Tribolium castaneum: one gene and its partner. The main gene of each other region encodes a partner of the protein of the gene in region 2 in a complex. Links are inferred from orthologs where the notes say so. Each region holds a gene or a part of one and is shown on either strand. Other genes may lie near its edges.

Region 1 (4,018 bases), on a different chromosome or scaffold from region 2:
TATTCGCAAGTAATAATAACACAAAATCGAGTACAAAAAGCAGCCGGATTACAGTTTATTAAATTGGTGTGTCAGTCAGATAGATTATTAGGGAACAGCGACGTCTACCTCAAAATTTTTTCTTCGTAGGACAATCACATTTTTTGCTTAGTGATGATTCTGGTTTTTTGAATTTAATAAACTGTATTGTGTAAGCTCAAGTTGTAAGAATGTATTTTCCGTTAATGAGACAATGATTAAAAAGATATAATAATTCTCTCGTTGGTCTGATTTTTATTATTATTTTTTTTTTCGTATAAAAAGCCTCCGAACAAATACGGATTTCAGGTAATTATGTGTAAATTGTGCTTGTGCTTATTTGTGTTGTGTGTACAATGTTGGGAAATCAGTCTTACTTAAATTTATTTCTAGGGGAGTCCACGTACCTGTGAATGGGAGGCTCAAAGGGCATGCATCGTACAAAACTGTAAATATTGCATGTAGAGAAGGGATTGTGTCATTATTTTTTTTTGATCATTCATTCATCCGCTTGCTTTTTTTAAACCAAGTTTAAAATCAGTCAAAACACTTTTTAATTATGAGAGTACAAATGCTTTTTTGATCTCATTTCATTTTATCTTGCCAATGTTAGTACTTTGGTTACCGGTTATTATAAGATTTTTGCCATTTTCCCCCTAACCCTCTCCCTAGTTTTTTTTGTAGGGAAATTTAGAAATGAACTAATTGTGAACCGAATTGCCAGTACAATATGAAGACTGAATGAAGAATAATTTAACGATCCAAAACTGTATACGATTTCTTGTTCAGGCTTCAGTTCTAATTTTCCCTAATTTTATAATTGTAATAACTTAACGAAAATTTCTCTCTTCCCTAGAAAAGGCTGTTAAATTATTTTATTAAGACCAATAATTTGTATGCTCGAATTATTTAGTGCATAGTTTTTTTCTCAATGTATTTTTTTACATTAGGAAGTACCTTCTTATAAGTTAAACTTAGAACATGTTTTAATTTTTCTCTTTGTGTTTCAACAATAGAAACAAGTTGTACTTACGATGCCAAATTTTGTTAATGTTTTAACTGATTTTAATTGAAAACAATCTCGAACCCAGTGTATGGTCTTCAGAAAAATATTTTTTAACATGGTACCAACCAGTTTTATAATATAAAAATTGTATTATAAGGTTAAAGTAACAAAAATTATGTGACTGCGTCATTATTATTGAACGAAAATAAAGTAAACCACTATTTTTATATATAAATACATAATTGTATGGTTATTATAGTTTTTATATTGATATTGCTTATTGTGATTGTGATCCAAGATTAATATTATATTTTAAGTTATTAGATCTGAGAACACTGCTGGAGATGATTTGGTAGTGTCATAATTTTTTCAAATCAGATCTGAGCGCACTGCTGGAGACTATGGTAGTGTCATAAATTAAAAATAAAAGCTTTAAAAAGTGTTTTTTCAACGTCCCCTGCCACGTCCTCGCTGAAAGTTGCCCCGACCTCGTCCTCCGGAATTTCCTTTGCCCTTTGGAGGCGGACTTTTCGGCCTCAAAGCTTCAATTCGTTCCGTACATCCCGTCGTTATATTATTATTAGTAAAATAACTCGCGTATAAATCGGCATTGAAATTCGAATTTGTTAACTCGGGACCGATCGTTAACCAACCTGGACGTATGGTACTGTCTCTACCGAAAATGTGGAGGCGCCGACGCCCCAAACAGAAGTGTTCGATTATATGGAAAATTTCAACCGGTTTTTCCAAACTTCCATATTCGTTCTCTTCCGAAATGATCAAATCAATGTCGACGTTGGCGTGAATAAAATCCCCGTCGGTTGACCGCCGAACCGTTCCTTTAATACCCATAAGACAGTGTTCCTTTGTCCTTTGGAACACTGCTTTAGGGTCAAGGTTTTTCGAATGACCTGGATTTTTTATGTTTGTGCGAATCCAACAAATATCCTCGCATCTGTAATTAGATTTATTATTACAAAATTTTGGTCTAAAAATGGGGAAAATACCGGCGAAAGCCCCATTTTCTGAGACACACGCGCCCCATGTCAAGTCCATCTGAACTTCCACACCACAAAAATACGAAACTTCGTTGCGCTGCCACTTCCCCCACATCCAAATTCATGATTTGGTCCCATGGCCAGAACTGCATATTTGTGGCCCCCATGGTTCTCTGGTATTCTTCCAAAGGTGGTTCAATTAAAATCACATCAAACTTACAATTTAGGTTTTTCAAATCATAAGTCGTTAAATCACATTTGAGATACATAGGGGGATTTGCAGTTTGTGCAATAAGTTCGTCTTTTAATTTGATTAATTCACGTAATTTGGGGTACTCCTCAAACCGGTCCGCTAGACCGACATCGCGGATGAAATTCTGGGGTCTTTGACCAGTGTCGACAAAATGTTGGCAGTAGTCATTATGGGGGTTCGACGATTGAGTCCCTTTGAGAAAAGTTGAAGAGTCACGATAGACCAATTCATTTGGAGTGTCTTTCTTGTAGTCGTATTTTTCGTTTTCGTTGTTGGTGGAATCGGGACGTCTCTTAGAGACCTCGGTTGTGGTTCCTAGGACCTGGCGGAGCTCCTCGGGGTTGGAAACACCAAGCTTAAACATTATTTGTCAGTGATACATAACCACATTTTTACTATACGTACAGTTTGAGCCAGAAGTTGCTTGCGTTTCCGTGATTTCTCACGCAGGTGTTTCATAACTTCACCCATTTTCAAGTGCAGACGGGTTTTATCAACTCATTTTATTTAGTTTCCCCGCAGTTTTTGGCAAAATTCGGAAAATTGATGATAATCAAGTAGCGCCACCGCTTGACATATCGTGGCGGTAGATTTAAATTGGGGGATGAATTATTTGTGGTAGAAATAAATTGTGTAACACTTAAGGACAAATAAAGTTTTGTTGAAATACTTTATTTCTTTTATTTAGAAACCTGAAAAAGTTGGCAAATAGTAAAATTTGGCGCTTACCTGTACCAGAGTACTTCAGATAAGATTGAAGAAAAACATGCTGAGAAAAAGCAGGAGATAAAACTTCTCTTTGGCCCTTATCAGAGTTCAGTCGCGCAAATTACCAAAAGCGTGTCACCTACACAGCCCTTAAAAACGCGTAAAAATCCTTACAAAGTGACCATTAAATGGGGTTAGTCATTAATTAATTGTGGACGTAGTGATTTAAAAAAAAAATGTCTTGTAATTGTGCTACACCTCGTGGAATCGAGGTAAAAAATTCCGACACACAATCAGAAGTGTCGGAAAGCGGCACGGCTACTTCTGGTTTCAACTCAAATTGGGGCTCCAGAGAGGAATTAAGGGATTTTGTTGCCAAACACGGATTAAAGGACATTTCGGATTTGTACCAGGACCGGTTCCGGGTCGACCGCAAAAAGTTGGAACAGATGCTTAGTGGTAAGTAAAGTTTTTTTTGTAATTTGTGAAATTATTTGTAAAAAAAGGGGACAACGATGCACTGATCCCTGCTGACGTTTTTTTTGCGAACATTATGGAAGACACTGACACTTACATAACGTGGCCAAACAAACTCAAATTGGGGGCTAAATCGAAAAAGGATCCTCACGTGAGGATCGCCGGCAAAGAAGAGGATGTTAAAGCCGCCAAAGACAGGATTATGACGGTTTTGTACACGAGATGCAATCGTGTAACCATGAAAATGGACATAAGTTACACGGACCATTCGCATATTATCGGCAGAGGAGGGCTGAGTATTAAACGTGTCATGGAAGAAACTCAATGCCACGTACATTTCCCTGATTCGAATCGTTCGAATCCGATGGAAAAAAGCAATCAAGTTTCGATTTCGGGCGATTTGGAAGGGGTTGAAAATGCAAGGAGTCGCGTTAGGGTATAGTTATCAAACATTTTGAATCCAACCCTACCACTAGTACAATCATTTCAGGAATTAATTCCGCTGATTTTTGGGTTTGAGCCTCCAATAATGGCCCAAAATATTGATAATACGTGTCC
Region 2 (5,584 bases):
GATTACAGCGAGCACATGTTGGGCTCAAGAAACCAATAAATTAGTGAAGTGTCTGAATTTTAGGTAGAATTTTTCCACTGAAAAAATCATGAAATACTTCTGTAAATCTACAAAACTACATTTAAGATTAACAACTGCTGATACATTTAAACGTAAATTATGCCAAAAGGTAGGCTTTTCACTGTCTTTGTAATAATTTTCCAATAAAGAAAGTGAACCAAACAGTCATTCGTTATTCGTGTTTTCCTCGTCATCTCTAATTTGTCAACATTCGTTTCTTACACCAAAGATACAATAGTCATTCCGCATAAGCATTGTAATAATTGTGAAGCCTCAAAATTCGTACAACGCTCAAAACATCTAAATAAACATTTTCCCGCCATTTATGGTTACTGTTTTCGACCTAGCTCAGTGGCGCCCCCAACGGTAATTTTACTTCCGAATATAATTTGATCAACAATAAAAATAAATTATTTTTGTAACGGTTTCCCAGGAAATAATTCCCAGTGTTGGCACATCTACAAATTGTGATTTTTTGACAAATTTAATTTTTTTAATTAAAAAAACTACTAAAGTATGATAGTAAATTTTAATATAATTATCCATCATTGTGCTAGGGATCGATTAATTATTATGAAACATAGCAACTTTAAAAAATAATGAACAGTGAAGAGATTAACAAAAGTTTTTAGCTGAAGATTTTCTAAAACATGACTTTAGGATTTTTTTCAAGATTTTTCCCGAAATCTACCCATGCTTCTCAACAACGTAACAGTGAGTTGGTGTGCCAGTTTTTGAACTCCCAGTATTTAGGAAAAATTTTTGAACTTTGGGCATTTAAATTTTGAAAACGACGAAAATACTAAAATAAAATACTTAATAATAAGTAAATTAGTAACGTTATGGTCGGCATTTTGAGGGTTATTTCGTAAAAAGAAAACAGACTCTCACTTATAAACGAGTTAAATTTAATGTAGCAGACCAAAAGAACGCCATTTTCGACACTCAGTAGAAATTTTTCGCCACATTAGAGGGATTATTCAGTAAAGTAAATAAGTTTTTAGCTCAAAATAACGTAATTCGCGACATAATTAACTAATTTTTCTGTCTGTTTTAACGCTGTTTCACAAAAAAAAGTTAGCAGTAAGCTAAAAATCATCCTTAGTAGGTCAAAACACTGACTTTCGTCATTTTTGGCGAAATATCGTAAAATGAGCTTATTACTCAAAAATATGATCTAATGAAAAAGACGAAAATAATGTCGTTGTCAACCCTTCCTTCGTGATTTTTAATACCATTTTGGGCTGAAAAACGTACTAACAAGCTCCATCTCCAAGTGAAGTTTTATCTAATTTGCTATGTTTATCTCATAAAAACACAAAAACCTCCTCAAAACTGCAGAAGCTGTCATGGTCACTGTTAATGTTTACAGCAAGTGGCCCTACACAGAGCGTCACAGTTCGTGCATTACATATTGAGATATTATTGTCTTTAGAATCCCTTACTGCAATCATCAACAATGGGCATGATAATCATTGCGGTTTTAGGCCCCAAAATTTGGGGAGGATTTTATCTTGTTGTGGTAACAAATTAAATAGAACTTAATTTTTGGAATTATTTGAACAAAAAAATATGTTTGAGCATTTGAAAAAGACAAAAATACAGGCTTAGTAGATGAAGGGGCAATGTAACTTTTTTTGAAAATTTTTGAATTTTGAAAATTTTACAAATATAGACTATTTTAATATCGTTTAATTAAAATATGCTTCACACATTCGTATTTTTCTGTAAAATTTCTTGTAAAAGTTAGTTGTTGCAAATTGGTTGAAGGGAGTATATACAATTAATTTGGTATTGTTCACTTACGGATCTAACTGCACACTATAAAAATAAATTAGTCTTATGTATGTTTTTTCCATTTCAAAAAAGATCATGCTCAAAATTTATGTACCTATAAAATAGTGTAACGTACACATTTAACTTAATTTTAACTGAAACTAACTATTTTCTTGTTTAACAAATACATACATGTTTAATAATAAATAATGATATATATATAATTTAGTAAAACCTAGCTAACATAACTGCAAATCTAATAAAGAATTTTTTCGAAATGAAACTTTGAAAGCACGTAAATAATTGTGTAAGTCAAAAAATCACAAATACATAGCCCCTTCAATTATTAAACTAGTTACGTCATTATTCGAGTTTTCGAGGGATTGCACAAATTAATTTCTCAATCTTATAATTTTAAAATTTTGCGGCGAATTAGAGAGAAGTTTCGCATAATACGTGAGTTTACAACTCAAAAGCACATAATTCTCGACTTAATTTGATAATTTTTTCGACGTGTTTCAATAAAATCATTCTGAACAGGACAAAAGAAGGACGATTTTGAGCTAAATTACAGTCAACTTAACTTAAATTAACGCTACAATAATTATTTTACTTTCAACCATTATTTGTGATTTTTACCTGTTCTATGGAATGCATGCAAAATACTACCTGAAATAACTAAACTTTTGGCTAGAAGTCATACCTTCTAACTTTGATCAGAACTTCATGAGAAAAGTAGGTTTTTCCCTTTTTTTTTTTTTAAATAAAAAAATAGTCACTTATAAAACGAGCTTTTAGCAAATTGGCTCAAAATAACATTTAAAAATAAAATTTTGGAAATTTTTAAGATGACAACAACAAAACTTGCTCTAAAAACTACCTCTTCAGTCTTCACCTGGTTTTCAATTCACGAACCGCAATTGCGTTTTGGGACCTACCTGATATCCCTCCCTGGTCCGTTCCCTGTCTCTATCCCGCTCTCTATCCCTGTCATTTTCGCCACTTCTGGGTCTCACCTTCGTGTCCCAATCTCCCTCAGGAGGGTGATGGTAACTCCTAGGGTCCTTAGGAACATCACTATAATACTCGTTGTATTCCTGAGGGTAATTCTCAGGCTGATTATAGCCCTGCTGATACGGGGCGGCATTCTGATTATATTCAATTGGAACACTTGTGATATTTTCCTGACTCCACTCATTTTCAATATTATTTCCTGAAATTATCTGCTGGGCGTCTGCTATAGTATTGGGCTGCGTTGGTAAAGCCGGATTCACAACAGGTTGAATAATTTGTTCAGTAATGTTATTAGTCAAAGTACCATAAACCGCTAGGGTGATGGTCGTGTACCACCCCCTCAAAACCAACCCATCTGTGGGTATTTTTCTAACAGTATCTTCCGGAACGCAGTTCAAATTGATACAACCGTTTTGATTATACTCGAACCCCCCTAAACTCTCAAAAGTACTCGCACCAGGCTTCCCCAAATCATTTACAAAAAACTCGATTTGAAACTGACTGGGGTTTGTAGCCCCCAGGCGGACGCCACCGGGGAAATCCGCTTGGACCCGAGCCCCCAGAGGAATAATACGAACTTCGGTTACATACACGGGTTTGGGGAACTGCACCAGATCCAAGTTTAGCTCCTAATTTACGAAACTCGTAAGCGAGGAAACAAAAGGCCGAAAACTTACCTCGGTGTTGTCGTGGGCAAAAGTGTCGAAAAAGAGCAATTCGACCACGTCTGACATTTTGGAAATGTTAGTTTTCCATATTTTTCACAATTACACGTAAAAACCACCGATAGTTTACAAAATTCGGAGGAAAAATGTGGTTAGCACACACAATAACAAACTTTTAGGTTATGTTTTGGAGACAGGTGCACCAACTTAACGTCATTTGAAAATGTAAATATACAAAAAACTTCTAATTCTATGAGCTTTCTACCGTTTATTCGCACTGTTTGTGTTATTTTCAATATTTAGCTTATTAATTTAGTCATATTTTAATAATACAGAGACGTTTATATAATTTATGTTATAGGTTATGAGATGTTTGGCTAAAAACAACCATCACATTTTTTTCATCAACGAACATGTCCAAAGCTTTAGGCACCGCTCTCGTGGGTTAGTTTCACCCCCTGTACCACGTACATAGTTAATACAGTGTTTAAGGGGGCGGTACGGGCTTCATAGGAAGTCACTTATGTAATGCTTTGAAGTCACAAGGGTATGGCGTTACCGTCATTTCCCGGATGCCGGGTCCCCAACGCATGACCTGGAACGACTTGAACCACGTCGGACTTCCCGAAGGAACAACAGCTGTGATTAATTTAGCTGGACAAAATGTCCTAGACATGAAACAGCGCTGGAACGCCGGCTTTAAACAAAACGTCTTCAACTCGAGAGTCAACACCACCTCATCCCTAGCTAAAGCAATTTCAAACGCGCAAAACAAACCCTCAGTTTTTGTGAGCATATCAGGAGTTGGAATTTACAAAGCAGATAAAGTCAGAGAATATGATGAAGCGAGTGTAGAACCCGAGTTTGATTTTTTCTCACGGCTTTGTCATGAATGGGAAAAGGCCGCCAAGCTTCCAAAAGGGCCTACTAGGCAAGTGACGATCCGTAGCGGCGTTGTTTTGGGGAGAAACGGAGGGATGATCAAACAGCTCTATTTGCCGTTCTTTTGTGGACTGGGGGGCCCTGTCATGCCAGGTGATCAGTACTTACCGTGGATACACATTGAAGATCTTACCGGACTGATTTTATTTGCACTCAAAAATGATAAAGTTGAAGGGACCCTGAATGGAGTGGCTCCACAAAATGTCACAAACAAGGAATTTTCAGACGTATGGCTTTGCAATTTTGGGTAAGTAATTTATTGAGTTTTTCAGGCTTTTGCTAAAGCTCTGAGACGTCCGGCTTTTTTTCCCGTCCCTAAGTTCGTCTTGAATGTTCTGCTTAGTGAAGAAAGGGCTAATATGCTGACTGAGGGACAAAAAGTCTTGCCAAAGAGGACAATGTCGTTAGGGTTTCAGTATAAATATCCTGATATTGCGTCAGCATGCCAGCAAGTTGTTACAAAAGAGTGAAACTTATTTATTGAAATGTTACAAAAATTAATAAAAAATTACAATTTAAGTGCCGTTATGAAATTTTCTCCCAACACGTATAAACAAGTATTTGAAGCATAAATCCCTAAAATTTCCTCGTTTGAAGGTAGACTGAAGACTTGTTGCTGTGCTAATGCGTTTACTCTTTTCCCAGTCGTTCTATTCCTTAACTGATTCAAACCGATGCTTTTATTTTGGCAATAAATAAAAATGTGTTTGGTCGATTCGCAAATAGCGGCGTAACTCAGGTCAGGAGAGGCCACAAAAAACTTCATTTGTTGTTTTGACGCCTAGAAAACCAAATCAGAAACATTATTCAAAGTCGGAGTACTAAAACTACAAGGCGAACCGAAATCAAAATCACCTAATTTTCTATAGCTAAAAAATTATGAATTATGAAATATATTATTATGAAATTATATTATTAGAAAACACCAACAAATTAAAAATTATTGCCCTGAAGAGCATCTCAGATGCAAAAACTAACGAGAAAACGTCGAGAATAAGTACTGTAAAAATGCTGTAATTGTAAAGAATCAAATTTCCTTTGAAAATTGCGCAACACCGAACACTCTATCTTCGACGGTTTTGTTCTTCCATTAAAGGTAGAGGCATTTGTGCGGAACCTTTTTTAAG

The links. Proteins that work in one complex are often made in the same cells at the same time.
Region 1: vir (region 2) and Mettl14 share a complex: the UniProt entries of both Drosophila melanogaster proteins name them as parts of the WMM complex. The link is inferred for Tribolium castaneum from reciprocal best matches to the Drosophila melanogaster genes vir and Mettl14.

The regions. Positions count from the first base shown.
Region 1 is NC_087399.1:166,672-170,689, forward strand, and holds Mettl14 (N6-adenosine-methyltransferase non-catalytic subunit), read right to left. Parts: upstream 2,876-4,018; 5' UTR 2,747-2,875; coding exon 2,681-2,746; intron 2,631-2,680; coding exon 2,032-2,630; intron 1,980-2,031; coding exon 1,472-1,979; 3' UTR 1,198-1,471; downstream 1-1,197. Other genes in the region: phosphatidylinositol 3,4,5-trisphosphate 3-phosphatase and dual-specificity protein phosphatase PTEN, read left to right, coding at 1-129; BicC (protein bicaudal C), read left to right, coding at 3,220-3,442, 3,490-3,896, 3,951-4,018. UniProt on the Drosophila melanogaster protein: Non-catalytic component of the WMM complex, a complex that mediates N6-methyladenosine (m6A) methylation of mRNAs, a modification that plays a role in the efficiency of mRNA splicing and is required for sex determination.
Region 2 is NC_087394.1:22,054,689-22,060,272, reverse strand, and holds the start of vir (protein virilizer), read right to left. Parts: upstream 3,669-5,584; 5' UTR 3,585-3,668; coding exon 3,528-3,584; intron 3,480-3,527; coding exon 2,775-3,479; intron 1-2,774. Other genes in the region: epimerase family protein SDR39U1, read left to right, coding at 3,929-3,959, 4,008-4,684, 4,730-4,927; nudC domain-containing protein 1, read right to left, coding at 4,966-5,238. UniProt on the Drosophila melanogaster protein: Associated component of the WMM complex, a complex that mediates N6-methyladenosine (m6A) methylation of mRNAs, a modification that plays a role in the efficiency of mRNA splicing and is required for sex determination.